4 linked regions of the Lepisosteus oculatus genome follow. The protein of the gene in region 4 purifies or fractionates together with the protein of the main gene of each other region. This does not show direct contact. Links are inferred from orthologs where the notes say so. Each region holds a gene or a part of one and is shown on either strand. Other genes may lie near its edges. The genes, in order: smarcc2, cyclin-dependent kinase 2-associated protein 1, mta2 and chd3.

Region 1 (7,729 bases), on a different chromosome or scaffold from region 4:
CGAGGGGGATGGCTAAATGTGTTCGCCAGTCTCACTGCTTGTGGATAGAAGCTATTGAAGAATCTAGTGGTCAGTGTCCATATGCTCTTATATCTCTTGCCTGAGGGCAGTGGGGTGAAGAGCTCATGCCCGGGGTGGTGACTGTCCTCTGTGATGGCCAGAATTCTACCACGGCAGCGGTCCTCATAGAGCTGTTTAATCTCGGTGAGACCGCAGCCGATGATCTTCTGGGCCACATTGACCATTCTCTCCAGTGCCTCTCTCTCTCGAGAAAAGGTGTTGCCATACCACACGGTGATCCCGTTGGTGAGGATGCTCTCGATGGTGCAGCAGTAGAAGTTCACCAGCACATGTATTGGCATCCCCCACGACTGGCACCTCAAGAAATAAAGGCGTTGCTTCCTGATAGAGTCAGTGTTCACAGTCCAGGTTAGATCTTTAGAGATGTGAATTCCCAAAAACCTAAAGCTGGTGACTGTTTCCACTCCGTTCCATCAATACTGAGTGGGCTGTGAGTGTATGGCCTGTGTCTCCGAAAGTCCACTATAAGCTCTTTCGTTTTCTTTATGTTCAAGTCCAGGTTATTGCTATGACACCACCTAAGCAGCTGTACAACTTCATCCCTGTAAGTGGACTCGTCATCATCACTGATCAGTCCTATTATAGTGGTGTCATTGGCAAACTTAATGATGCGGTTGTTGCTGTGTCTTGCTGTGCAGTCGTGAGTAAATAGGGAGTACAACCTTGGACTCAGACAGCAGCCTTGTGGGGTTCCAGTGCTCAGGGTGAGTGGTGATGTTTTATAGCCTATCCGCACCACCTGTGGTCTCTCGATAAAAAAGTCCAGCAGCCAGTTGCAGACAGAGTTGCACAGACCTAATCCCCTGAGCTTTGTCACCAGTTGACTGGGTATGATGGAATTGAATGCTTAACTGTAATCCACAAACAGCATTCTCACACACGAGTTCTTAATGTCCAGGTGTTCCAAGGCTGTATGCAGAGCCAGGGAGACAGCATCATCCACTGATCTGTTGTTTTGGTAGGCAAACTGCAAGGGGTCCAGGGACTCCTTGCAGTGTGACAACACCAGCTTCTCCAGGCATTTCATCACCACAGATGTTAATGCTACTGGGCGGTAATCATTCAGGCATGTCACTTTTGCCTTTTTGGGGGTTGGAACAATAGTGTTTTTTTTAAAGCAGGTGGGGACCATGGACTGTGACAGGGAGGAGTTAAAGATGTCCGTAAACACTGTGGTCAGCTGGGCTGCACATGTCCTCAGGACGCGAGGTGGTATCCCATCAGGCCCTGCAGCCTTATGGATTTTCACCCTGCTCAGAGTCTTCTGCACGTCCTGCTCTGAGAGTTTCAGAACAAACTTGCCCTGCACACTTGGGGTCTTCTCAGCATTGCCCATGTTCAGAGCATCAAAGCGGGCATAGAAATGGTTCAGCTCGTCAGGCAGGGATGCGTTGTTCGTGTCAATCTCCTGGCTGCAGCCCTTGTAGCCTGTGATTGACTGTAATCCCTGCCACAGCCTCCGGGTGTCAGCGCACTGCGTTTCAGCCACAGGCACAGACCCTTAGCCACAGAGCCACCATTCCACCCCAATCCCCCCTGCACCCCCATGTCGTGGCCAAATTTCCCCCTGTCCTTTACCAATCATGGCCTCCTAATAATCCCCATCTCTGAACTGGCTCCATCACTCTGTTCTCCCCCCCCACTGAGAGCTGGTGTGTGATGAGCATACTGGCGCACTATGGCTGCTGTCTCATCATCCAGGTGGGGCTGCACACTGGTGTTGGTGGAGGGGAGTCCCCATTACCTGTACAGCTTTTTGAATGGAGTGTCCACAAAAACACTATATAACTATTGATTACTTATTTTTATTTGTATGTATATTTTTATTTGTATATATATATGGCCAGCAGCCATATCACCCTGCAACTCACAACTGGCAGCCCACTGAAGCTCAGCAGGTGTGAGCCTGGTCAGTACCTGGATGGAGACCTCCTGGGAAAAACTAAGGTTGCTGCTGGAAGAGGTGTTAGTGGGGCCAGCAGGGGGCGCTCACCCTGCAGTCTATGTGGGTCCTAATGCCCCAGTATAGTGACGGGGACACTATACTGTAAACAGGCGCCGTCCTTCGGATGAGACGTAAAACCAAGGTCCTGACTCTCTGTGGTCATTAAAAATCCCAGGGCGCTTCTCGAAAAGAGTAGGGGTGTAACCCCGGTGTCCTGGCCAAATTTCCAATTGGCCCTTACTAATCATGGCCTCCTAATAATCCCCCTCTATAAATTGGCTTAATTACTCTGCTCTCCTCCCCACTGATAGTTGATGTGTGGTGAGCGTTCTGGCGCACTATGGCTGCACACTGGTGGTGGTGGAGGGGATCCCCATTACCTGTAAAGTGCTTTGAGTGGAGTGTCTAGAAAAGCGCTATATAAGTGTAAGCAATTATTATTATCTCTGAAGAAGAGAAGTGAACAAGACCTGTTACAAAGAAGAGCCCCTCAGCCCCTCTGGCCCGTTAGGCAGTGAGTAGCCAATTGATCTGAGGAAGTCATCATCCAGCTGCTTCCTGAAAGAAGCCGGGAAATTAGGGTCAACAACATGGCTGGACAGCTTGTTCCATACGCTCTACACAAAGGGTTGTGGGAGTGTGGAACAAGCTACCCAGCCATGTGGTTGAAGCTGATTCCCTGGGTTCTTTCAAGAAACAGCCGGATGAGATCCTCATATCAATGAGCTAATAATTGCCACACGGACCAGGTGCGTGGATGTCCTCCCATTTGGAATTGGTCACATTCCACTAAAGACACTACCAAGGTCTGGGCATAAACCCCTCATCTGTAATCTGTGCTTTCTATTAGTAAACCAGTTCCAAATCCAGACACACATTTCCCTGAAAGCCTGATGCCCTAATCTGGAAATTAATATTTAATGATGGAACTTAATCGAAAGCCTTCTGAAAGTCTAAATACACTCTTTCCTAAGCTCTGTGCGTATCCAGTTCTGCTGTTGCTTGATCAGAGAACTGTAACAACTTAGTCACGCAAGGCCTCCCTGGTCTAAGTCCTGTTGTCTATTCCCATGGGTATTATTACCACATACTGCAGGCGAACCTTTACTTTGGGTCTGTTACCTTCTTCTATATCTTGTAGGTAATAGAGGTCAGACTTATCGGTCCATATTTACCTACAGGGTTCAGTCACCCTTCTTAAAGAGGGGTGCTATATTGGCAGCTCTCCAGTGCCTGGGTGCGACCCCTCCCTTGAGTGAGCGTCCGAAGAGTTGTGTCAGCGGCTTCTGAACCACATTTCTCATTTCCTTCAGTGAAATCGGTACAATACCACTGAGTCATGGGGATTTATTCATCTTTCGTCATTCTAGTACTAAAAAACACTTCTGCCTCTTCTGGACAAAGACACCCATCCGCTTTCTACCCACTTCATGAGGCAGGGTACACCCTGGACGGGACGCCAGTCCATCACAGACATACACACTCACAGCAGGGCCAGCCATGACACAAGCCACCAGCATGGCTTTGGACTGCGGGAGGAAACTGGAGCAGCTGGAGGAAACCTACAGGAACACGAAGGAAACATGCAGACTCCACACAGACAGCACCCCAGGTCTGGAATTCGACCCTGGACCCCAGTGCCAGTGGGCAGCAATGCTGACCAGTGCCCCAGCGTGTCACCCTGTGCTGACAGAACTGAATACAACTGTGTGCTTCCTCACTGTGTTACTGAGGCAGGCTTCCTCCTTTAGGAGCCCATCGGTGCAGCAGATGTCGATAGATGTTCTGTCTAGATGATTCGGGTCCCATAACAGCTTACGGCACAAGTTTTGGGCAGAGCAGTGGCTCTGTGGCTAAGCATCTGCGCCTGTTGCTGGTTCAAATCCTGCAGCTGGCAGAGAAATCCTACTCCGTTGGGCCCCTGAGCAAGCCCCTTAACCCCAGCTGTTCCAGGGGTGCTGTGTAAATGGCTGACCCTGCGCTCTGACCCCCAGCTTCTCTCCCTGTCTGTGTGTCTCAGGGAGAGCAAGCTGGGGTCTGTGAAAAGACAAATTCCTAATGCAAGAAACTGTACATGCCCAATAAAGTGATCTGACCTTATCTTGGCACATCAGCTATTTCCCTGGTGCTGTCTATTGTCCATTATTGTCCCTGATAACATATTACTTCATCCTTAATAGTTCTGTTACTGCTCTTCTGCATTCAAGGGGGACTATTGTATTTTTCACTGTTGTGTACCCACAGTCAATCATGTTCAGTCAATTATTTAAATGAAGACTGTCCTTTTCTGACCTTAAAACTGCACGTCTGTCACACACTCACTTACACATGGCAAAAAAAATAAATATTTAGTGCTAAAAAGCTCGTCTTTCCTCCTCGTTCTGTTTATGACACCAGCAATCATTTTTTTTTTGCCTATGATAAAATCCTCTATGACGAATTAATAAAGACGGTATTTCACGAGGAGAGACGATTTATGTGAGAAACTGCGCGGCAGGATGCGCCATGTTGGATCTAACTCCTTCCTTTTTCACTGTGGGGGTCTGGCCGCGGTACCGGAGCCAAGATGGCGCCAGTTTCGCCTCGACCTCCTCTCCCTGGACGCGGCTGGCCGCAAACCCGCAGCGCCGCCGAGCAGCCGCCAGGTGGCGCCCGATCCCCCTCCCCCTGTTCTGTCTACAGGCGACCCAGCAAAGATGGCGGTGCGGAAGAAAGACGGCGGCCCGAATGTTAAATATTTCGAGGCGTCCGATACGGTTTCGCAGTTCGACAATGTCCGCATTTGGTTGGGCAAGAATTACAAAAAGGTACCTCTTCATTTTCCCCCCTTTTTCAATGCCATGTCTGGGTGTTTTTTGAAAAAGAGCTCCGGAGACCAGGGGGCTGGGTGAGGCGGGGGGAATTCTTGAATCCGGCTGAGCGATTCAGCCGAGACACAATGAGAGCCGCCCAGAAAACAAAAGAGACCCCGATGTTATTCTCCCCGTCATCCCGGCTGCAGGGGTGCGACCCCTCGGGCTGCCGGTTCGGGCGCGCGGAACGAATCGCAGTGCACAGCAGGGGGCAACCTGTCGCGTTTGAGCCGCGGCGTGTGTTTAGTGTGTTTGCGTGCGTGTCATTCCTTGATTTTGTCTGTTTTCGCAATTTAACTGGCAGGCGGAGATTCTCGCCAGCTGTTAACATCTGGCAGCCCCTGGCGTGTAGCCAGCGGTACTGCACGGCGGCGGGGGGAGCCGTGCGTGTTCTGAGATAACGGCTCTGACAGCCGTGGCCTCCTCCCCTCGCCCCGTCAACACTGCGGGGTCGTGTGGTGCGGGAGTTTCGCGTTTCGATGTTGCGCGACAAAACCTCAGCGCTGTCACAGACAGACACACACACGCGCGCGCGCGCGCGCGCCCCCTCCCACGCGAACAGCGCCCAGCCCCACTCAGCCCCCGGCTCGGAGCGCGAGGCTGCCGAGCGGCCAGATGTGCTGTCCTATCGCAGCGCGTGTGTGCTGCGTGAAGTGATTCACGCGCGGCGCAAAGTGGAGAAACGCACGAGAGGTCAGTGCTGTACTCTACTATACAGTGCAACCTCCTGCACACTGACTGACTGATATTGAAGATTGATCCTGGATGTGCTGTAGTGTTCAGTCAGTGTCTCTGTACTGTAACTGTACTGTGTAGTAATGTGCTAAACTACAGTGTCCGTTAACATACTAGAGTATTTTTGAAGTATTCCATTGTATGACACTTTAGGGTGATGTACTGTATAGTGCTGCGTATTGCTTTACGCAGTCAGTGTGTCTGTATTAACCCCTCTCTCTCAGTGCAGTGTTAATGTACTGTAGTGTCCAGTCAGTCAGTGTGTCTGTATTAACCCCTCTCTCTCAGTGCAGTGTTAGTGTACTGTAGTGTCCAGTCAGTGTGTCTGTATTAACCCCTCTCTCTCAGTGCAGTGTTAGTGTACTGTAGTGTCCAGTCAGTATGTCTTGATTAACCCCTCTCTCTCAGTGCAGTGTTAATGTACTGGAGTGTCCAGTCAGTGTGTCTGTATTAACCCCTCTCTCTCAGTGCAGTGTTAGTGTACTGTAGTGTCCAGTCAGTATGTCTGTATTAACCCCTCTCTCTCAGTGCAGTGTTAGTGTACTGTAGTGTCCAGTCAGTGTGTCTGTATTAACCCCTCTCTCTCAGTGCAGTGTTAGTGTACTGTAGTGTCCAGTCAGTCAGTGTGTCTGTATTAACCCCTCTCTCTCAGTGCAGTGTTAATGTACTGTAGTGTCCAGTCAGTGTGTCTGTATTAACCCCTCTCTCTCAGTGCAGTGTTAATGTACTGTAGTGTCCAGTCAGTCAGTGTGTCTGTATTAACCCCTCTCTCTCAGTGCAGTGTTAGTGTACTGTAGTGTCCAGTCAGTGTGTCTGTATTAACCCCTCTCTCTCAGTGCAGCGTTAATGTACTGTAGTGTCCAGTCAGTATGTCTTGATTAACTCCTCTCTCAGTGTAATAATAATATAATAATAAACTTTATTTTATATAGCGCCTTTAAAGGTGGCTTCTCAAAGCGCTTTACAGGATGACAATAACAATAAATAAGAAGACTACAACAATAAATACTGTTAGTGTACTGCAGTGTCCAGTCAGTGTGTCTGTATTAACCCCTCTCTCTCAGTGCAGTGTTAATGTACTGTAGTGTCCAGTCAGTATGTCTGTATTAACCCCTCTCTCTCAGTGCAGTGTTAATGTACTGTAGTGTCCAGTCAGTATGTCTGTATTAACCCCTCTCTCTCAGTGCAGTGTTAATGTACTGTAGTGTCCAGTCAGTATGTCTGTATTAACCCCTCTCTCTCAGTGCAGTGTTAATGTACTGTAGTGTCCAGTCAGTGTGTCTGTATTAACCCCTCTCTCTCAGTGCAGTGTTAATGTACTGTAGTGTCCAGTCAGTATGTCTTGATTAACCCCTCTCTCTCAGTGCAGTGTTAATGTACTGGAGTGTCCAGTCAGTCAGTGTGTCTGTATTAACCCCTCTCTCTCAGTGCAGTGTTAGTGTACTGTAGTGTCCAGTCAGTGTGTCTGTATTAACCCCTCTCTCTCAGTGCAGTGTTAGTGTACTGTAGTGTCCAGTCAGTCAGTGTGTCTGTATTAACCCCTCTCTCTCAGTGCAGTGTTAATGTACTGTAGTGTCCAGTCAGTGTGTCTGTATTAACCCCTCTCTCTCAGTGCAGTGTTAATGTACTGTAGTGTCCAGTCAGTGTGTCTGTATTAACCCCTCTCTCTCAGTGCAGTGTTAGTGTACTGTAGTGTCCAGTCAGTGTGTCTGTATTAACCCCTCTCTCTCAGTGCAGCGTTAATGTACTGTAGTGTCCAGTCAGTATGTCTTGATTAACTCCTCTCTCAGTGTAATAATAATATAATAATAAACTTTATTTTATATAGCGCCTTTAAAGGTGGCTTCTCAAAGCGCTTTACAGGATGACAATAACAATAAATAAGAAGACTACAACAATAAATACTGTTAGTGTACTGCAGTGTCCAGTCAGTGTGTCTGTATTAACCCCTCTCTCTCAGTGCAGTGTTAATGTACTGTAGTGTCCAGTCAGTATGTCTGTATTAACCCCTCTCTCTCAGTGCAGTGTTAATGTACTGTAGTGTCCAGTCAGTATGTCTGTATTAACCCCTCTCTCTCAGTGCAGTGTTAATGTACTGTAGTGTCCAGTCAGTATG
Region 2 (7,113 bases), on a different chromosome or scaffold from region 4:
ATACAGAATTGCAGTTGTGCAATGGTACCCTACAGAAATGAATCTCTCAACACAGCAGGTCTTAATGAAAATAAGTTTTATTACACTGAGTAATAAATACATACAAAGATGCAAATAATGGCTTTATTACAATAGTTTATCCAAATCCGGTGTGTGGTGTATTTGGCACTATCCTTTTCTCAGTCTCCTAAGTATTAGTGTGTTAAAAATATTGAATCTTAGGCCCTATTCCATCTTAAAATGTCCCTTGCTACAGTCTAAATCTGTACAAGCCATGCAGTTTTAAATTTTAATTGGGAGCACTTGCTACCATGCATGCAAAGTCATCAGATTTTTATTTATTTTTTTTATTTTTTTTTATATATAAGCAGTCAAGAAAGAATCAGAAATCCCCCTATGGAAAAAAAAAGAATAAAGAACCCTTGAAGAGGTTCATGTCAAGTATAGTTTTATATACTGGTCTTTTAGCTTTCGTTTCTGCATTCTTCAGGCCAGACGTCAAAAGTTTTTTATTATTATTATTATTTGGAAAGCTATCTGGCTTTCCTGGAAAGCTATCTGGCTTTCCTGAAAAGAGAATGATTAGAAGGCAGGGTTGCGAGATGCTGTTCAGGGTTTCTGTGTGAAAGCATTGTTCCCGTGGTTAGGACCTGGCGTTTCTCTCCGTTTCCGCCAAGCACTCGCGTACCAGTCCTCTAGCGTGAATGATCCCTTGGAAAAGAAAGAAAAACAACACGTCATCATTCTCGCTCGCTCAAGGGCCCCTGCCATCATGTCACTATACTGTACACCACCGACAGGCCGAGGGACTGAATCTCTCTAGCCTTGAACAGAGAGGGCGACTAGGGGACCCCGTAAGAAAGCATATGAAATGCTTGAGGACACTGCCACAGTCCACCCCAGCAGACTTTTTCAGAGAGAACTGGAGAACTGCAACGTGAACCAGAGGACACAAGGGCAAACTAAGTGAAAATGAGTTTTAAACTTTACAAAAAGGTTGGTGGGGGTATGGAACAAGCTGGATGAGCTGGAACAATTACCTACTAACTATCAAAACAGGCAACATCTTCTGAACGGCCTCCCCTCGCTTGTATCCACTCTTATGTTTTAAGAGCCTGGGAAAATATTGGACTTGAGCCTTGGGTGGTTCTCTCCATCTCCACTTTGTGTAGTGGCTGCAGTAGTCAGAAGTTTGCATGCGACTACAGATCACCTGTTTATATTTACACAGTAAGATGCATCCCGGAAGATGAATGCTGTTTTGTATCGGGATTAAAACCTGCTGAAAACGGAGCCAAAGTACACTGTGATGTAGTTGGCTGATTAAGGTATAATAGATTCAATGACTCACTTAAACAAAACTAATTACCTCGTTTTAGTCTCTCCATGGCACTTTTACTCCCAGCATACGTCGGTCTGATTTCTTTGCCCAGCTCTTCGATGATGGCTAGGAGTTCTGCATATTTACTTTGAGGCACTTGATTTCCGCTGGTCCCCTGCAAGAGGAGAACAGTTCCTGGGCTGAGTCCTCTTAGAAAGGGCAATTCACTGACCACACAGAGGGCATCTGCAAGGGACTGGCAACATCTGTGCCCACGGAGAGCGAACGGAATTGCTCACCAGCCTCTCTTGGCACGACCTCCGCCTCAGTTAGACTAACCACCAGGTGGTTTGATCGAGCTAAAATTACCTGTGAAAATCCCAAGGATGGCAGCCCGTAGTCATTCACCAGTGGCCGGTAAGACTGCAGTGTGGCTAAGCTCGTGGAAGGAGAGTGGACATTCCCGACTGGAGGAAAAGAGACGGACAATGAGGTCAAAAGGAATCGTTTCTCATTTCTGAAGCTCCTCCACACACCCCAGACCCACCCCCCGAAACACAGAAGAACAACTCCAGCCAGGGCACGTTGTGTTGTACTTGATTTACATTCGCTGCTGCTTGCAGATGTGAACGCTCTAAACTGTACTGTGTTACATTTCGCAAGGCAAAATCGTGACAGTTTCAATTGTCAATGCTACTCGTAAGACTTCATTAGAATTCAAATTATATGTAATCTCTTAATTATATTTTAAAGTGAGATAGCCTCTGTATATTTGCTGCGTCGCACCGCGGGGTAATTGGTGGCACATACAATTCAGAAACAATTGTATGTGCGTACTGGCGTAGCTTCTGAGAATTTTGGACACTTATCATTATTATTTAGAATTTAGAAAAACACATTTCAGAGGTGCGAGTAGGTAGCTGCGTCAGGTTTATTCCGTGCTGAAAAGAGAAGAAATGAAACACAACGTTTCGGCTGGTATTCCGTATTTCAGAGGTGATTTTTTTTTAGGCAATTGAGTCTCTCTCGGTCACCTACACTACAGGCATTCAATTCATGTAAGCCTTCCGTGCAGTAAGCCATTTTGAACGCTAGGTGTCCCCAGAGCGTAAAAAAAGAACATTCCTGATCCAGATCAATCATCGGCCCTGGGGAGACAATCATGGAGGATACCGAACGGGCTGATTTAAGAAGCCAAAGTGATACATTTTTTATAACACTCTTCCAGCATCCGTGCGAACAAAAGCGGGTATCGGCTACCGCAAACCCGGTCCCCAGCGAAGAGTTAACCTCCGTTTCTCTACTTTGCGGATGCGGAAAAAAAAAAGCTTTTATGATTAGTAATAATGGCGGATATGAATCAGCTCTCAGGATCTGACCCTATATATATAACTGGACAAAAACTACAGACACGGGCTTTCCCCAGGTATTCATTATAACAGCGGATTTTGCATCTAATAAAACAGTGATTCAGTGGAGAATTCGCGGATATTTCAGCCTTACCTTGGTTCACGGAAGTCCCAGGAATGTGCGGGTGGAGGTTGGGTTTGTAAGACATTCCCAGAGACATTATAAATTAAAGAAATAAAAATGTCCTGAAATTCACTGAAGCGTCTCTGTCTCTCTCAGACACTTTTTGTTTACAGCAGCCGCACCGGCAAATATGGCCGTCACTTTATATTGACACCCACAATGCAATCTATCATCACAATGGGAAATTTATGGCAATTTGACCAAAAGCGAGGAGGTCAGACCCAAAACTCATATGGAAACGCCGCGGCGATTAAAATTCGGTTTTGAAAAGAGATTTCATATTTTTGAGGTCGTAATCTATTTTAAAACAACGCTTTTTAAAAAACATTATTTGCCGAACCCTGGCTTTTTTTTTATCAGGTTACTGACCACGTCAAACTTTGAAACTTTTATTTTTGCTTTAATCGGGCTCGTAGCAACTCTTACGATAACGGATGGGTTATCTTCGTCAGCTATACTTCAAATTAAAGTTTTAAACTTTCTAAAAAAAAAATTCAATCACAGGTTTTAGGAAGAACCCCATCGTATTTTTTTAGATGTATTTTTAATTTAAAAAACTAAGGGGACGAGGTGTTTTTTTTTTATTCATCAACGTGCAACAATAACTTTTTGATATTTTAATAATTGCAATTACTTTTAAAGCAAGGAAGAAAAATGCGTTCCCGCCGCCTCACATAGATTTAGAGAACATACTGTAAATACTTTAGTCGTAATATTTTACCACCTAGATCGAGAATGCATGGTAGGAAAGGGTTGCGATAATTACAATAATTTCCTTTTCCAGACAAAAATGATTAAATGTTTGTCTGGAAGCGGTAGTTAAAAACAACAAGGTGGTCTATTTTCCCGCATATTTTGCTTAACGTACCCAATACGTTTAGAAAATAAGCGGTTTACTTAGCTCATACAATGTATGAGTTTATATAAGATGCATATAAAAATCTAAAAAGCACGAGGCAGCCATAGGAACTTCTAAGTCTGACAATGGGGACGCGTGCCATTCTTAACCTCTTCCTATCGTGTAACACGCTCCCCTCCCCCGCCCACGTTTCGCACCCCACGACATGAGCGAAGTGAATGCTAATTTTTTCCATGGGTAGCAGGAGTGACGTATGGCGCGAGTTCGTGAATGCCTAGCACTGTACTTTGTCTGCCTATTGTCGAGACGCATGTTCCACCGTTTTCCGTGCTCCGCACCTAACTGGGGGGTGTGAGAATGGGGGGATTGTGGGCTCATCTTCAAAATTAAACAGCCTCCTGGCCAGATTTTTTACAAAAGCATTCTCTCTTCACCACCCAAACTGCCGGAGCCTGTCCACAAGCCTGGTTTATACACGGCCACGATTTGCTATTGTCATGCACAATAGGATGGCCATCAGCTGAAAATAACCCATTGACTGTGTGAAGCAACAGGAGAAATAGTCAACTATAGAGTCAAATATAATGTACATTCAAGTGTTAATTTTAGGAATGGCCTGGTATGGAACAATGAGAGCACATTATAGTTAGGATTATCAGGCAAATACCAGGTTTTACCAAGGAATCTAAAACTTGATAAAAATAAAATTTATTTGGTACATAGACCTTAAGATTATTATTTTTGTGTAAACTGCATAAAGTATAACTGAACTCAAATGTAGATCCATTTACTTTTTTACATAAAACAGGATTTTGCAGTAGGACTAAAGCAAAAAGTGTTTAAATCTCTGTGCAACAGAAATCCCAAACCAAGAAGGTTTGGCTTTTGGCTCTTGAAAAACACTCCATGAGGTGATTCCTAGTGGAAGAGATCCCCAACCAATAGTCCTGAGCAATATGCTGTAGATCCTTCTCCAACAAAATATAATTACAATTTAATCCTTATGTGGTCATATACATTATGCAATAGAAACAATCAGATTCCATAATCAATCACAATCAAGCCTGGAAAAAGAATGTGTAGCTTTCATTGATTAATCTCATCAGGTAATCAGCATGCAGCAAACTGCATCTCATCTTCCTATAGTCTTTGATTATTTTCTTAGTTCTCAGCAGACAAATTAAAAATAACCCATTTGCTTGCAGTCAGAAGTTGCTGAACCTGAGCCCTCCATTGAAGTACAGAAGAAAACATTATACCTTTTTAGAAATAAAGAGTAGAAACAAAAATAAAAAAAACTAACCTGCCTCATTCAGCAAATTGCTCTAAAAAACACTTGACTAATCATGCCATTTGTATGAGGTACAAAATGTTCTTTAAAAAAAATCAAGCTTGCTCTAAAACATTCTGGTCATGTCCATTGAAAACCATCATGAGGAAAATTAATCTGAAGCACAGAACCAAGTATAAAATGAATGTTTCAAATTGAAACACTTTCAAGAAGCAAAAAAGTTTTTTCCTATAATTCTCTTAGACACAAGCCACAACTCACAAAGTTTTTCTAGATTTATTGGTCATATGCAAGATGTCCTAATCTTGCAGCAATGTAATTTAAACAGATTTAATTTCAATATACAATGAAATCTGTCAGTAGTGCAACTCGTGCAAGCATGAAATGACATTGTCCTTCAATATCTTATAAACATCAATTTTACTTATAAGCCAAACAATTCATATTTAAGATATGTAACTATACACATTTGTACAGCAAAATATCCATACCAGTTTAAGAGAAACATTTTCGATCTTATAACATTTACAGCACAAATGAAAAGCTTTTATAAAGAGTCTTGTGTCCCGTCCTGAAATTAAATGCATCAGATCTGTTTCAAGAGACAGCAAATATTAAAATGTGTAAATAGAAAATTAAAAAATATAAATCAAGACCAGACAAGGTTGAAGTGGCCTTAATGTAAATGACATTCCAGTTTACAGACTGATATCTTGGGGATTTTAAGAACAAAAGGTAGTATATACCTTCATGAACATACTATTGAAGATCAATGACTAGCCATTCTGCAAGTCCAATGTTTTTGTTTAAATTAGCTATGATTAAAGAAATGTTTATTCTAAAGTGAACCACAAAGGGAAAACAGGGATGATATTTTTTTAAAATCATGCAAGGTCACAATTTTAGCATGTTGAACCCTGTGGTGAACATGGTCTTAAAAGGAATTTACACCTTGAGAACCATTTTCATAAGCATGAATATAAGGTACACTAAATGAAAGGAACAGGAAACATTTGTATGCAGTGTAGTAAACTTGCAATTCCATGCTTTGTACAATGTATGCATCAACACATTAAGGAACATGAGGGGGAGGTGACATGCATTTCAATATATATTCTCAGCATATCAGAGTTAAAAAAAGTGATTGTTTTCTTTAACTAACCCCTGAGCACTGTAATATGTCATAAAGTTCAAGCACTCCACTTGCAGAAGATACAGAACAAACCTGTAATTATGACCAGAAGCCAGTAGAAAGCACATGAAACGTTATGAAAAAAAGAGGAAGAAATATTTTATCTGTTTCAACATTTCTCCTCCAGAAATTCACAGAGGTCTCTTCAGTTCTGAACTGAAGTGCGAGGTGTTGAATGTTCCAGTGAACTTCTAATGAAAGAAAATTCTTTGGACAAGAACCCTGAATGTTTCCTTCTGACTGCCTCACAATGTGCTCACAGAGCATGTTCTTAAATGTAACACATTAAGTCCACTGTCCAGTCCACGCTGGGTGCTATGTGTTACTGAAGGCGTTAATGCTCTGTGGGTGAAGCTGTTGCCACATTTGTTGCTGCTGGACAGCAAGTTGTTGAGACTGGTCTGACGAGGACAGGATGTTTATCAGCGGGGCTACGCAGTTTGCTGGAATGATCAAACCTGTCAATGACAAACATTAAAAAAATTATTGGTCTTGGATAGTTTTACAGTAGAAGGAAGCACCGACGCTTAAGAGACTAATAGTATTATTTCCTTAAAGCAAACTACCCAATCGTACCCTAACTACTAATCACATTTGTTAATTAGGTAGGCAAACCCTGAACCAAATTTAAATAAGCCCAAAACATATGAACTTTTAGTTATAATAAACAGCTGTATGCTACTTACAGATAATAAAAACAAAATGAAATAACAGCACTGGGCTAAAGCTTGTAAACAGGGGCCTCCTGATGACTTGCATGGGGGTGGGGATGAGGGAACTTTATCATCACTTACCAACGATTCTTTGTCCATCCTCAGTTCTTAAACGAACGATTTGCATTTTCACATTGGTTCCACTGACCGACGCTAAAACGCCCTCTACTTTAGTCCAAACACTGAGCACCGATCCACACAGGA
Region 3 (8,006 bases), on a different chromosome or scaffold from region 4:
CACTGACCCCTCCTGGACCAGGACTGGACACCCCTGCTGCAGTCACACTGACCCCTACTGGACCAGGACTGGACAGCCCTGCTGCAGGCACACTGACCCCTTCAGGACCGGGACTGGACAGCCCTGCTGCAGACACACTGACCCCTCCTGGACCAGGACTGGACAGCCCTGCTGCAGACACACTGACCCCTCCTGGACCAGGACTGGACACCCCTGCCATTATCTAACCCCAAAAACTGGTCTTTACCGCTCAGTGTGGGCAACCACCCCCCTTCACAACGCACACTAGAACGAGAGGGTATAAGGACCTCCAGATCTAGGAGAGGAAAAAGCTCCTGAAAACCACCAAGACGGGCTGATGACCACACAGGCCAGCGGCACAGCGAGCCTGTTCCAGCAGCGGGGGCTGGACCCAGAAGCCGGACCCTGCAGACCCTCAGGGCGCGGAGAGATGGGGGCGCAGCGCTGAGGTCGCTGGAGCAGAGATACGGGGCCACCAGGGCCGCAGGGGAGGGCTGTCCTGAGTCACTGGGGCTCTGGTGTGGCCCGGGGCCAGGAGCAGAGGGTGAGAGTGTGCGCACGAGAGCAAGGGGGCGTGCAAGTAGGTGTGCACAAGAGCACGCACCACCAGGGCAGGGAGCAGAGGGTGAAAGAGTGTGCAAAAGGGCAAGGAGGCTTGAGCGAGTGTGCACAAGGGCAAGGAGCAGAGGGTGAAAGAGTGTGCACGAGGACAAGGAGGCTTGCACGAGAGCGCACACCAGGGCAAGGAGCAGAGGGTGAGAGGGTGTGCACGAGGACAAGGTGGCTCGAGCGAGTGTGCACAGGGGGCTCGCACGAGAGCGCGCACGAGGGCAAGGAGGGTGCAAGGAGGTGTGCACAAGAGCTCGCACCAGGGCACACGAAGGGAAGGAGGCATGAGAGAGCCTGCAGGGGCATTAGTAGGGTGGGCAGCAGGGAGACAGGCCGAGACCTTTCTGAAGCCCACCGCCACCGCCGCAGGGGGGGGGGGGGGGGCCTGAACCCCAGGCGTCTCGCTCACTCCTGAAAAACTTCCACCTTAAAATCGACTGGGTCGCTTCGAGACCCCCCCACCCCGGCAGGCCAGGAGACAGGAGACAAGGCAGGCTCACGTGTGTCTCTACACCGTGATACTTTGCCCCCGGGGGTGGGACGAAAAGGTCGGGGGGGGGGCAGACAGTTGTTGGCACGTCCAGCAGCGAGCCCCCCGCGCTGTGGCGGGGTGGATGTCTGTCCCACGGGCGCCCTGGCTGTGTGTTATTGGCGTCACAGTCCACGCACGGGGAAAGAGGGGGCGGGAGGGCAGCTCCTCAACAGCAGGGCTTCAAGATATAAAGAATAAAGCCCCCCCACCCCCTCCCCTCAAGGCCTCGTGCCTGCACAGCGGCCCCCCGAAACCCCCTCCTCGCTACCGGCCGCGCGACGGCTTCCGACACGGTGGTTCCGCCTTCGCGATAAAATCCGCCCCCCCCTCCTCCTCCTCCTCCTCCCGTGCGACAGCCACAGACACGCAGGCCGCGCGGACTCCGCCGGGGCTCCCGTTCAGCTGGTTTCCACGCCAGCTGCGTGGCGTGTGCGCGCCACGCGTGCTCCTTTTGTGTTTGTTTGGTTCTGCGCGACCATACCGGTTACCCTCCACTCGAACCGTGTGTGTGTGTGTGAGAGTGTGTGTGTGTGACCTACATGTCGCCTTTTCAGACGCGACCAGAGCAGATCGCCTCTCCGCACCGCCGAGCCCTCGGTAACGTCCACACACACGCTCGCTCGCTCACGAACCCCGTGGCGTGGGCAACCTGCGTCCTGCGTGGAGTTCCGCGAACAAGTCCCCGAAATAGTTTGTATTTATTTATTTTTTTTAAACTGAACAAATTCAAGTCGTCGTCGTCCTCCCTCCCACCTCGCACGGTTCAATCACCCCCCCCCCAAAAAAAAGACACCGGCGGTTCCGGGACCTTAAACCGGTTGTGTTAGATTTTTTTTTACTTCCCAAAATTCAGCCTCTCCGGACAGGAAGATACGAACCGTCTCGGCGTCGGCCGGGTGTTTTTTTTTTTCCCCTTTCTCTTCGCACAAGAAGAAAGGAAACAGTTTGCGGTTTTAATTTAAAACGACCCCGCCACCCCCCTCACTCACACAAACACAAACTGAATAAAAATCCTTCGCCAAACTTCCTCCGGAGATCACCGGGGGGATAGAGAGAGGGGTGCTCGGGGCCTAGGGCTTCGACGGCAGAACAGAGACCCGGTTCGATGTCACCGGAGCACCGGGATGGATCGGTGCCTCTTCTCCCCGAACCGAGGATGACGATGATGATGATGATTCAATTCTCGCTGGCTGGAGCGACACGCACGGAAATAAAAAAATATGCAACCCCCCCACCACCTCCTTCACCATCACCTCCTCTCTGCATCCTAACCCCCCCACCTCGGGACAGGAGCGACCCGAACTCGGAACCCGACTGGCGAACTCACCCCCGACTCTGTACATGTTGGCCGCCATTCTCCGGTCGCCGTCTTGAACAGACACCCGGCCGAGGGAAACCCGTCGGCTGCGGCCGAAACAATTCTCCCTTCTTCTTCTTCTTCTTCTTCTTGAAATAGGAATTTAAAAAATAAAACCACACACACAAAACGAAAGAAGGGAGGCAAAATCCGTCTCCCGGCGCCGATCCGATCCGATCCGATCCCGGTTCCCCCTCGGAGGCGGGCCGCCCTTCGCCTAGAAACAAAAGGCGAGGGATCACCCGCGCCGCCACTCGCGAAGTTACAACTTTCCGTTACAGTGTTGTCCAGGTTTAGCCCCCTTCTTTTTTCTCTCTCTCTCTTTCTTTTTGGGTGGAAGAAAACCCGTGTCGCCGCCCGCCGCCCCACGGCTGTTCCTGTCCGGCAGGGGAGAGTCCACCAGCGCCCTCTCCTCCGCAGTCACTCGCTCACAGTCCCGACACACAGCCACCCCGTCTCTCTCTCTTCCTCCCACCCTCCGCTCCCAGCCTCATCCTCCTCTTCCTCACCTCTCTTCTCACACACACACGCCACATCCCCTCCTCCCTCTCTCTCTCTCCCTCCTCGCCGGCTCACGTCATCTTCAGGGGTGGACCATCTCGCCGCCCGGGCCGGACTCGCCTCGGCCGCGCTCGGGTATCTCCGGCGGGTTTCGTCTCGGCTGGGGATCCCGTCTCGTCTCGCCGAACTACCCGCACCAGGGCGACACCGAGCGACAGGCCAAAGCAATGGACAATGAAACGCACCCCCCCGGGTGTTAACACATACCCCTCCCCCCCCTTTGAATAATCGCAGAAGTTGCTCGCACTGTATTTGTGCATCGATACGTCTGATCTACGCAGCCCCCCCTCGAGGGACGGGAGGGGGCACAGCACGCCCTGGATTCGAACCCGCAACGTCCAGGAACCCTTCCCGAAGATGCCGTGCGAGAAATGCTCCCGTCGCTCTGTAATTATCCTACCGGGGACACCAACGCTTATTGAACTTTTCTGTGTGTGTGAGGAGGAGGAGGGGGGGAGTTTTTTGCGACACGTGTTTACCGCTTTTGACAGCCACAGCCCGGGGTCATGCGAGGCGAGGGCGTCGTGTGTTTTAAGGCTGGCTGCGGTGGTTTGCATCGCCCCCCCTGCAGCAGTCCAAGCCCGGGGGGAGGGGGTCATTAAGAGACAAGGTCGCCGTGCACGCAGCCGGGCGCTGGGACGTCCCGAGGCCGGTCTCTCGGCTCCGCTGCGCCCCACAGCCGGCGGTGGGCACGGACGCGGAAGTCCCGCCCCGCTCGGCGGCTCCAATTCGACCCGTCGTGCGGGACCGGATCTGGCCCCGCCGCCGCCGCGCTCGGCACCGCAAAGGCCGCACGGGCGGAAAAAGTTCCGTTTCAGCGCGTTTTCAACCCACCAGTTGTTATCGGGGGGGGGGCGGTGAGGCGTTCGACACTGAAAGGCTAACCAGGAAGACGCCAGAGGAAACTGAGTGGAAGAGTGGTTCAGACTGAGAGCGGGCGGGAAGGGAGGGAGGGAGAGAGAGAGACACACACACACACTTTACACATAGGGTGGTGGGAGTGTGGAACAAGCTGCCCGGCCGCGGTGCTGAAGCCGATACCCTGGCTTCTTTCAAGGCACAGCTGGCTGAGATCCTACAAGCAGGACAGGAGGCACCGCTCTACGCCAAGGGTGGCGGGAGCGTGGAGCTATTTTCCCCAGCCACGTTGTTGAGGCTGATAACCTCGACGTCACTCAAGACGCAGCTGGGTGAGACGCTCCAGTCTGGGCGCAGGAGGCCCGCCTTTACACAGAGGGTGGTGGGGGTGGGGGACAAGCTGCCCAGCCGTGGTGTTGAAGGCGATACCCTGGCTGCTATGTATCGTATCCATCTTCTCTCTCAGCATGCTGTAACAGTGCTGCGCCGACATCTTGCTTGGTCTTCGTCTTTGTCATGTTGGGGTGCTGTGTAAAACAAACTTCCCCAGTGGGCAATAAAGCTTGAATCGAAACTTTCGAGAAATGGATTGACCCTGGGATCGATTAACTTCTAAGTAAGTGGGTAGGGCTGCACACTGGTGGTGGTGGAGGGGATCCCCAAAACCTGTAAAGTGCTTTGAGTGGAGTGTCCAGAAAAGCGCTATATAAGTGTAAGCAATTATTATTATTATTATTAAGTTATGACCTTCTGGTTGGGAGACCTCTCTGAAGTTATTCATCCTTTGGAACAGCTGTTTTAGACGCAGGGGGGTCTCAAGACTGGTCTCCCCGAGACCCCCTGTCTTTTCCGACTCCTGCTCCAGTCTGGGCCGTGATGTGCCAGTGTTGTCTTCCAGCTCGGAAAAGACGAAAGGGAACTGCAAACGGGTATCAGCTCGTTGTGGGGTTGTCTCGCAGAGTTTCACTCCCGGTTGTGTTTGTGCGCCACCCGTGGGCAGTGTTAGTACGTGCCGTGTCTTAAAACCAATAACTAAAACTAAAATAAGGCCGCAAACTCTTAGCTCGTTGGAATCGGAGCCATGCAGCTGAATTGCAGGTCGTTGCTGCCCTCTGCTGGCAACACGTGGTACTGCGCAGGAGGGAACACAATTGACCGAAAGCCTTCAATTAAACCTACAGTCTCAGAAAAAATATTCTATTTTCTTTTTTAACTATAAACAGCCACAGTGCCGGAGGAGCCGGAACGTCGCTTGAGTGAAGCCGGCGACGAGCTGTTTCAAGCCTTCGATACACGAGCTAGACGGACACACCGGACCTCCAGTGGGGTCAGAATTCAGCCCCCCCCCTCCCCGATTGAGACACCCAGCTGCAGGGCAGGGGACCCCCATCACGGCCCTCAAGGGCCACAGTCCACAGTCAGGGTAAGTGGGTCTCTTCGAATCTCCCGTTTCTCAGAGACTAGGAAAAAGACCCCACCTGTCTGATTCAGCCCGTAACGAGTTCAATGAAGTCATGGAGGGGTAGGAGGACAGCCCACACCCTCCTGTCTCCCCATGAGCGACGCTGTGCCCCCCTACTCTAGGATGGGGGGGGGTTCTAGGTCTCTTTCTGTGTTCAGCACCTACAGCAGCAGGGATCCTATTTAAATCTGTACTGTACATGTTGTATGCATGTCCCACCTGTGTTCTGTGCTGTACCGAAAGCAAATTCAACCAGCTACAGTTGTGTGGCAAGAAAGAATAATCTAATCTAATCTAGGAGCCCCCTGCTGGTGGTCCCAGTCCAGTCTCACAGCCGGGAGACCCCCCACCAGACCAGCCCGCTGTCGCACCCCAATGACCTCCACCCTGCTTGGTTCCGAGATTTCTTTGTTTATTCCAGGAGGGGGGGGGGAGGAGAAGCCAAGAATCACATTTTCTGGAGTGTAGGTTTTGCAACAAAAACAAAACAAAAAAATCAAAAATCAAAACAGACATAAGACATAAGCATCTCTATAAAACAATCTCTGTACAGAATGAGAAAAACGACGTTTGGTCCGAAATCGTGGGCCTGGGTTTGGTGGTCCCTCTGCAGCCCGAGGCGCAAACCCGAGGAGGAGGAGGAGGAAGAGAGAGGCTGCTGAAAGGAGAGGAAGGTCCCGGTCCGCTGGCTTGTTCTGTTTGGAGCTGCCCTGACTCACAGGATCTCTCATGGGTTTTTCTGGCCTAGAGAATCTGGGTGCAAGGCGGAGTACACTCTGGACGGGACGCCAGTCCATCACAGGACACACACACACTGACACACCAGGGCCAGTCCATCACAGGACACACACACACACTCACTCACCCTGGACGGGACGCCAGTCCATCACAGGACACACACACACTCACTCACCCTGGACGGGACACCAGTCCATCACAGGACACACATACTGACACACACACTCACTCACCCTGGACGGGACGCCAGTCCATCACAGGACACCCACACACTGACACACACACTCACACACCAGGGCCAGTTCTCCCACCAGCCCGCGCCTCAGCCGTCAGCGGTCTCTCTCGGGGCCCCTCTGCTCTAGGGACCGGGCTCCTGGGAGCTGACGGAGTTGGAGGACACCGAGGAGCTGCGGTCCAGCGGGGCGCCCCCGCCCCCGCCCCCCGTCACCCTCCACTGCAGGATGCAGGTGTCCTTCCCACCCATGGAGATGAGGTGGCTGTCGTTGTGGGTGAAGCGCACGTTGGTCACATGGCTGCCGTGGCCCTCATACCGGTGGCTGGGGGCCTGTGGGGGGGGGGGGGACAGAAAAGGGGTTAGGGGAGACGCCCCCCCAGCAGGGTCTGCAGCTTTCCGAGCGGATCTCGGTGGGACTTGGGGGGGGGGGTTTGGGGACGAGGCTGGCCGAGCGACACAGGGCTTGGCATCGTAGGGACCGCCCCCCGCCCCCCGCCCCCGCTGGGCGCCGGAAAACGAGGCCCCTGATGCGTCGGGGGGGACGGAGCCGCTCGGAGCGGGATTCCCACAGGCCCAGTGCCGGCAGTCCCCCCCGAGGGGCCGGCTCGCTCGCTTGCGCTCTCGGCCAGCAGGGGGCGCTGTGGAGGGTGGGGTCAGGTGACCTCCGCCAGCCCTCCAGGGTCAGGGGTCGCAGGTCAGGACCCAGGGTCAGGTTACACAGCTACAGCCCGAAAAACTGAGGTTAAGCAATCAGAGGTTGCAGTCTGAGGGGGTATACCCTCATGTGGCTTTGTGATCTCTAAGGACTTCGCTTGTCCTTCGACAAAATCACGTTTCTGGTGAGGGAGGGACATCTGTTGACCCCGGTGGGTGCTGTACTGAAGACAATGTCAGGGTGTTACAGGCCGCCTGTGGGGGTGGGTCCGCACACTGACCTTGGGCTTGGGACAGGGGTACTGGAACAGATGGACCTTGCAGAAGTCATCGGCCACTGCCACTGCCCTCTCGCTGTGAGAGCGGCACAGCGCGTTAATGTCCGTGCCATCTGAGCCCTCCAGCCACACTCCTGAGACAGGAGGGAGAGGAGGGAGAGACAGCAGGGATTAAGACAGGAGAGTGAGAAGGGAAAGACAGACACGTTTAATTAATCCTTTATTCCTTCAGTCATTTTCTCATGTCCAAGGAGCTCACGCCACTGTGGTGCAGAAGGCAGAGCAGTCGATAAAGAGTGAACAGATGAAGGGAGCAGGACAGGACAGTGTTGACAAGTGCAGGAGCAGAAGACACAGTAGCCAAGCACAGACAGGAGCAATCGATAAAGGACAAACAGAGCAGGACAGGACAGTGTTAACAAGTGCAGGTGCAGAAGACACAGCACCCAAGAGCAGACAGGAGCAATCGATAAAGGACAAACGGAGCAGGACAGGACAGTGTTAACAAGTGCAGGTGCAGAAGACACAGCACCCAAGAGCAGACAGGAGCAATCGATAAAGGACAAACGGCGCAAGACTGCGTTAACCAGGGCGGAGAGAGACGGAGAGGAGAGAAAGGGGCTGCACGGTTGTGCGAGTGTGTGGGGCTCCGGGGGGGCGATGCTCACCCATGACGTGGAACCCCAGAACGCAGGTGTAGG
Region 4 (7,117 bases):
TTTAGGGCATTTTCAATTTGTATGCCGAAGACAAACTTAATTTAAACTTAACAAAAACTTAACACCATTAAAAAAAAACTTTCATTTAAGCGACAAAAAACAGTTATGTGAGAAGCATAATTAAGACGTATTGTTGTTGGTGCCTGTTTAAGAGGCGAGCTAAAATTCCAGGATCTTAAAATATTATGTCAAAACTTAGTCCCACAAACATCCCGGTCCTGCGGATTGAGAGAAGTAAAAAACATGCCATTCGTACAACACGGAAACATAAAACTAAAAAAAAACCAAAAGAATAAATTAAATCAGTTTCCGGCTTCACACAAAAAGCATTACAGTTAAGCTCAACCAACGAACCGGTCTTTCATTTTAGCTCCGCTTACCTACGTTTAACTGAAATGAACGGAGGATAAATTCACCGAGTTGAAACTCGAAACACCTCAACTATTTTAAGAGCAGCATTTTTTTCTGAAGTGTTTGAACAATGAATAATAAACAAATTCCTTTAGTGGGTGTTCTCCCATACTCACAAAAACTCTCCTGGGTCTTTTTTTTCTCAGCGTTGACACGACTGTAGTTTTTACCGCGCTACAGAAGGGCGCCAATCGTGTTTCGTCTTTTGCCTGTTAATTCGTATTTTCCCCCCTTTTGTTTTACAGCCACGTTTTTCCATCGTGTACGTGATGTGCCAATCTCTGTCGTGTTTACAAGGCTTTCGGAGGCTGCTGAAATTTACTGGCCGCAGGCGACGCAATGGAGCTCGCGACTAGGGGGGGAGGGGTAGACACTTCTCTCACGCCGAAGTACAGAGCGGAGCCAGAGGGGTTGGGTGTCTACTCAAACCCGCAGGCTTTCAGCGGCCCGCCGCGCTCAGTTGGTGTAACTAGGCGATGAGACGCCACAGTTTATATCCGCCACCTGCGGCCAGCCAGACACAAAGTTACAGCTGGGTCAGGATGCAGGGGTTATCGGGGGACACGGACTGTGTCTCGCCAAACCTGTTCTCTTTTTCTATTGGGGGGCAATATTTGAAAGATGGTAGGCGAACCTCGCCCTAATGACACGGTAGTTGTCTCCCTGTTTCTGTCTGCCGAATGCAAAAGGTTTCTGGTTGTTTTCTACTGTTTTTTCTTGAGGTAACGTTATCAAATACTCTTTTTTAAAAAAAGCCTACATCTAAAGATCCTGGTACACAAATATGCTTGTGAAACTACATTTTTACAAGTTATTTATATTCATATAACTTGTTTTTTAGTGGCAGAACCCACCCCAGCGTTATCGAAATTGAATATCACTTGTGTATATAAATAAAGATTTGAATTCACTGTTTTTTTAACTGTATGTACTATTTACTGTTTTTAATAATTTAATTTAATATTACAATATATAAAGGTCATATTAAACGTACGTATAGCCTATATACATCTAGGTATTTTCAATACATTAAATATGCGAAATTAACTCATTTCATAGTTTTGGTTACTTCCGAATGTATTCATTCAATCGACACCGACATTAATAGCAATATAACTGCAGATTTTAAGAAATATGGGGCTGTTTCTCATTTTATGAACTTTAAACATCTCGAAGGTTCGGGGGGTGAAGCAGACAGGTCTTTTATGTGTTTATGCATCGCTGTTCTCGGGTTTCTCTCTCTCCTGTAGAGAAAGAAACCATCTGATCTGTATAATTGGGGGTCGCTTGGGAGATCCCCCACACAGACAGCACTGGAAGGAAAAACACTATCTCGCAGTGTGGTTTGTGTACGCTCTCACCCGCAACAGTTACAGACAGCGGGGAGGGTCAGCGGCGTGTCAGTGACTCTCACACTCGGCACACACGCACCAACACCCTCTTTCATGAATCCGGTCACTCCAGAATCCTCCTCCCTCCAAAATAAAACATTTTTTTTCTACATTTACCAACAAAAACAACAAAATAGGAAGGTACAGACGTGTAGGTCACGGCGCCACAGCGGGTGTCAATCGCGACAACAATGATAAGATATTCATACGTACTTCATTGATAAGATATGTACATATGTATTACACGGGGAGACAGGGAAATGGAAAGTGTGCGTCTTCTACGGGGTTGTAGTGTGGTGGTGTGTGTGTTGTGGGGGGCTCTCAAAACTAGGTAGCTATGCGAAAGAATCTTTTTTTTTAAAAAAAGCTTCAAGCTTCGTCGATTCGGCACAGTACTTTGGTTAAAGTTGCGCTTTAACTCTTTAGACTTCCTAAAGCAGTTTCAGTGCTATCTCATCACGGTGTGGAACAGGTAATGAACAGTATTAAAATGGGATTTATTTGCATTCCGATTATTATTCTTATGATTGTTTAAGGTTGTTCCTATGCGCGCTCCCGTGTCTAGGCAGCCCGTACTGTACCTGGCGCGGCTACTGCTGCAGTTTCTCTAGGCGCCGCCGGCGAATATATGTCGCTTGTGTTCTCGTCCAGCGCTCCGTCTTCCCCGTCTTCTTCTTCATCGAAATCTCCACCCTCGGAGTTAACCGCCATGCCCTCATCTTCCTCACAGCCTCGAAGAGGAGAGGACATTTTTCCTGTTGCCGGCCCAGTGTATAGGAAATAAAAAAGGTCTTCTCCCGGAATTATGAAATTTATTTAATATTCAAATCGGCCAAAAAAAATGGGGGGCGTTTTGGAATATTTTACACACAAGGCAGAGAAACAAAGATGGCCGCCCTTATATTTATTTTTTAACAACCCCCCCAATAAGAAAAAAAAATCCCCTTACATAAAAAATGGCTGACTATATTATTTCAAAACGCCCCCCCTCCTCTCACTCGCTCTCTCTCTCTCCACTCTCCCCTCCCTCCATTCTGAAAAAAAAACATACACACATTGTCAAATAAAGGGTGTATTCGTTGCACGTAAATCACATTATCGCGTTGTTTTTTTCATGTGTATTAGCGCTGGTTACTGTCCTTTGTTTCGAGAGCATTCTTATAACCCTCACTCCCCGCACTGCAGAAAGCGATGCGAAATCTAACAAATATGGCTCCCTTCATATCTTTAAAGGCCCCCACCCCGAAATAAAATGATTTAGGAAGAGGGAGCTGGAGGCTGGGGAGAGAGAGAGAGAGAGGGGGGGTTATTCGTGCTTACATCAGCTCGCTATATTAAAATGCAACTTCTACATTTCTGCGCCGAAAAGAACAAAAAACACCCAAAGCCAATTTAGCGCGATTTACAGGCTTAAAACCGAAGTTCAGAGTTATCTTCAAATGCAGAACAGAAATATACTTGCAGCGTATGAAAAGTGAAGCCACTTTTTTTGTTCAAATCAAGCACCGAGATGTAAAATATCCGATGACTAAATTCCTAGACGTTTGTAGGTTGTTAGTATTAATAATAATGATAGTCGTGAAACTGTGAAAACCTTTAGGTTATAGAGGACGTATTTGTTTTTAACATACACAGGGGTAATTAACGCGTATATATATTTTAATCAAACGTGCGGCGAGCAGAAAACGACGAAATTGCCTTATTTTATTACGCGTGATGCCTCCGCCGGACTTTTAACTACAATTATTCTGCAGTTCGACTTGTTGTAAAAGCGCTTTGGGATGCTGCTCAACACGACACGTAGACATGGGTGGCCGATTTATTGATGTGATTGAGACGAGCACAGGATGAAGGAGGTGGTGTCTGTAACCATTAAATACAGAAGGCGCCTAAGAGGAAATGAAATACTTAAAACAACTGAAGAAATAGCCATTGAGGGAATTATAATAACTAGTTACATATTTTGTTTTTATTAAAGAATGCCTGGACTCCTGTAAATATATAGCTGTGTTAATGAACTACACCAATATATTTTACACAATTATGGTATCAAATGTAAGCTGGATGAAGGAATAGGGGAAATTAATAATAATACAACTTAAACAGTGAACACACTAATACCTCATTTAAAAAAAGCTATAAACTTTGGACAAACGTTTCAGATACACACAAGTACAGCTCAGACTGCTGCAGCCCGTGTCCTGCTGAGCAGTGAGGAGCCTGTGGGAGTTCACCTCCACGAGAGGTGAGACTGAACACCCAGTGGTTAATCCAAAGCAAGCTGTGTCACGGGAAGCAAAAAAAGAGGTCCAAAATATCTAGACATGTCTCAAAATAACAAGCAGCGCATTTTATTATCACCGAAAAGCAACCCTTGAGAACAGGTCATGAGCTGCGATCATCCAGCTGTGAATAAAGGGGGAGGGAGAGCGAGAGACGGAGAGAGAGAGCAAGGGGAAGGGACAGAGGGATCTGGAGAGGGAGAGGTGGGAGAAGAGAGAAAGAGGCAGGGACAGAGGCAGAGGGGGATCAGCAGCAGCTGGTCAATACATGTCTCAGACTGGAGAGAGATCACAGAGATGGGGCCGGTAGAGCTGGGTGGCTCCCAGGGTCGTGAGACCAGAGCTCAAAACTGAAGCAGTTTCTTGGCGAAGCAGAGAGGACTAACAGGACAGTGGAAGGGGTGTGGACGTGCAGTGGAGCGGAGCTCACAGTTCGGTGAGATCGTCGTTGAAATAGAGACAGATGGACTGTGTGAAAAGGTCCCGGTCCATGCGGAGCTCATAGAACTCCTGATCCTCGTCGGCGATCCCGTTCTCCGACAGCGTCTTGCCCATGTCCAGGTTGACGCCGCCGTATTTCCAGGTGTAACTGGCAGCATGGGAGTTGTACTTCAGGTAGCGCTGCAGGATTTCCGACATTGTCTCCTCGGAACACACCTGGGACGACAGGCGAGGGAGACAGTCGGGACACCGAGATCTGTGCCGTCACCTGAATCACAGGTTCGAGCACAAAGGGGCCTCCCAAGAATACTCACTGGGGTTACACAAAAAAAACCATGAAAAACAACCGCGATGCAAATTAAGACTCCCGTTGCACGGCAGTTTGACCCATTTCATATTTTACTAAGTATTCTGAATAAGCAAATCGACAAATAGCTTTAATGTTTTTATCCCCAGGCAACAGTACACGTAAATTAATGCAAAATGCGGGAACAAGCCCAAAATATCCAGCATATATCCAAGAGCTTGCTTTTTTTAAAGAGAAAATGGAATAGTTTTGCTATACAACCTGTGATATGAACACTTTACAGCTCCGAGACTAGAAATACACTCTCTGTACGACACTAGAAATGTCACTGTTTTTTTGTCCTCTTTTTATTTTTTTTTAAATATTACATTTGGAGGTATTCTAGGAAATAAATAGGTGAAAACCGTACTGTCAAAATCATGAGAAATGCCCCTTTTTTTAAATATTGCAGGAACGCCTTGCCAGGCAGCAGTGCGCGGCTCACCTCCAGCATCTGCTCCTGGGAAGTCAGCGTGTTGATGATGCGCACGTGGCGGGTCTTGGCTGACAGGACCCCCACCTCGTAGCAGCCGTCTCTCCACCAGGGGCAGCCGAAGTCGTTGGCCCAGTCGGTGCAGGGCCAAGGTGGAGGCACGTGGACGAAACGCCCACTGGGGGTGTAGTACTTCTTGCAGCCTGACAGGGGGTCGACGTGGGTCCGGATCTGTAGGTGACAAGGTTGCTTTACAAACAGAGGAGTAAGGAGACAGTGAAACAGTGCCTAAGACCTGGACCTAGAAGCAGGTGCTATTGTGTTTCTCTCTGCCTAGCAACCCATAAATGGTTATTATAAATTTATTTGGCTTGCTCGTTTATCCATAGAGACTTACATGCAACCATTTATGCTGCTGGGTGTTTTACTGAAACCTGCCCATGGGTTCAAAACCATTGCTCCAGCCGGGAAATGAACCTATTCCATTTATCAGTCCAGAGCTCTGAGTACTGTCCTGCATGGTTAGCACCAGCACTGCAGTCCTTCAGCTCCCATTACAGAAGATCAGGTAGCACCTGCACATAGTAATGTAATACTATGCCACTATTGTTCACAGTATGTATGATCCTGTGTGTCAGCCTTAATGTAGAACTTAACACATGAGGTGTTTACAGGTGTTCACAGACAGGTGGGAATGACACTTATCTAACAGACACAAAAAAATCAACTATGTACCCTGAAGAGGCCCAGTTACTGACGTTCTGTTCATCTGAATGAAGAGGGGTGTGAAACCCAGAAGCTGGTTGAAGGCTGATAGCTCTTACTAATCCTTCCAAGATTTTTGACAGCTAAACTAAAATTTCTGATGAGCTCAGCTGGAATAGAAGGGTTTCAAAGGGGCTCCCCTCTGGGACAAGGCCTATGAACTGGTAAATGGCGAAGTCTCATTCACTAGAGATTAAAGACTTTAACCACGGACTATCTTTAGGCTGTGAAAATGCTGCAAAGTACAGTCCCACACTGACATCTACAGGCCAACTTACTTCACTGCAGTGGAGACACAGAAGTGCTGTGCTGAAAACAAGACACTGACCCAGTGAGGCCCTAGCAAACATCAGCAATGGGCACAGTCTGGCCATTTTATGAGGACCTCAGAGAACAATCTGTTGCTTGTTTCTTTTTTTTATAATTTGCAATCACTCTTTTTACAGTTTCCTTTATTTCTTAATCCCTCTGAATCAGGAATTCCCGTCTGTTAGTCTACTGGGATCCCGTATGGGGAGGGTGTGGACAGCGCACTTTCCTCCTCCCGTTGAGCCACCTGCGCGGTGAGACAGGAATGCAGGTTCCACTGTTGAGAGAAGCAGTGATCTTTGCAAACAGCAAAGATCTGCCCTACTACAAAATAAGTACAAACATATTGAGTTCAGCCAGCAGCCATATCACCCTGCAACTCATAACTGGCAACCCACTGAAGCTCAGCAGGTTGCTGAGGAAGGTTGCTGCTGGAAGAGGTGTTAGTGGGGCCAGCAGGTGTCACTCACCCTGCGGTCTATGTGGCTCCTAATGCCCCAGTATAGTGACGGGGACACTATACTGTAAAAAAGGCATCGTCCTTCGGATGAGCCATAAAACCGAGGTCCTGACTCTCTGTGGTCATTAAAAATCCCAGGGCATTTCTTGAAAAGAGTAGAGATGTAACCCTGGTGTCCTGGCCAAATTTCCCATTGGCCTTTACCAATCATGGCCTCCTAATAATCTCCATCTATGAAGTGGCTTTTTCACTCTGTTCTCTGCCCCACTGAGAGCTGGT

Evidence for each region.
Region 1: the proteins of chd3 (region 4) and smarcc2 fractionate together in Homo sapiens (co-fractionation; 3 studies listed by BioGRID, with this or other methods). This does not show direct contact. The link is inferred for Lepisosteus oculatus from reciprocal best matches to the Homo sapiens genes CHD3 and SMARCC2.
Region 2: the proteins of chd3 (region 4) and cyclin-dependent kinase 2-associated protein 1 purify together in Homo sapiens (affinity purification with mass spectrometry; 6 studies listed by BioGRID and IntAct, with this or other methods). This does not show direct contact. The link is inferred for Lepisosteus oculatus from reciprocal best matches to the Homo sapiens genes CHD3 and CDK2AP1.
Region 3: the proteins of chd3 (region 4) and mta2 purify together in Homo sapiens (affinity purification with mass spectrometry; 8 studies listed by BioGRID and IntAct, with this or other methods). This does not show direct contact. The link is inferred for Lepisosteus oculatus from reciprocal best matches to the Homo sapiens genes CHD3 and MTA2.

Annotation. Positions count from the first base shown.
Region 1 is NC_090696.1:19,695,993-19,703,721, reverse strand, and holds the start of smarcc2 (SWI/SNF complex subunit SMARCC2), read left to right. Parts: upstream 1-4,711; 5' UTR 4,712-4,722; coding exon 4,723-4,833; intron 4,834-7,729. UniProt on the Homo sapiens protein: Involved in transcriptional activation and repression of select genes by chromatin remodeling (alteration of DNA-nucleosome topology).
Region 2 is NC_090717.1:7,570,805-7,577,917, forward strand, and holds cyclin-dependent kinase 2-associated protein 1, read right to left. Parts: upstream 3,010-7,113; 5' UTR 2,892-3,009; coding exon 2,825-2,891; intron 1,789-2,824; coding exon 1,691-1,788; intron 1,497-1,690; coding exon 1,370-1,496; intron 712-1,369; coding exon 644-711; 3' UTR 62-643; downstream 1-61. Other genes in the region: sbno1 (protein strawberry notch homolog 1), read right to left, coding at 6,512-6,654, 6,991-7,113. UniProt on the Homo sapiens protein: Inhibitor of cyclin-dependent kinase CDK2. Also acts as a component of the histone deacetylase NuRD complex which participates in the remodeling of chromatin.
Region 3 is NC_090713.1:21,714,976-21,722,981, reverse strand, and holds the start of mta2 (metastasis-associated protein MTA2), read right to left. Parts: upstream 3,009-8,006; 5' UTR 2,518-3,008; coding exon 2,490-2,517; intron 1-2,489. Other genes in the region: eml3 (echinoderm microtubule-associated protein-like 3), read right to left, coding at 6,497-6,703, 7,309-7,439, 7,974-8,006. UniProt on the Homo sapiens protein: May function as a transcriptional coregulator. Acts as a component of the histone deacetylase NuRD complex which participates in the remodeling of chromatin.
Region 4 is NC_090698.1:7,522,159-7,529,275, reverse strand, and holds the start of chd3 (chromodomain-helicase-DNA-binding protein 3), read right to left. Parts: upstream 3,012-7,117; 5' UTR 2,553-3,011; coding exon 2,384-2,552; intron 1-2,383. Other genes in the region: cyb5d1 (cytochrome b5 domain-containing protein 1), read right to left, coding at 4,511-4,741, 5,317-5,535.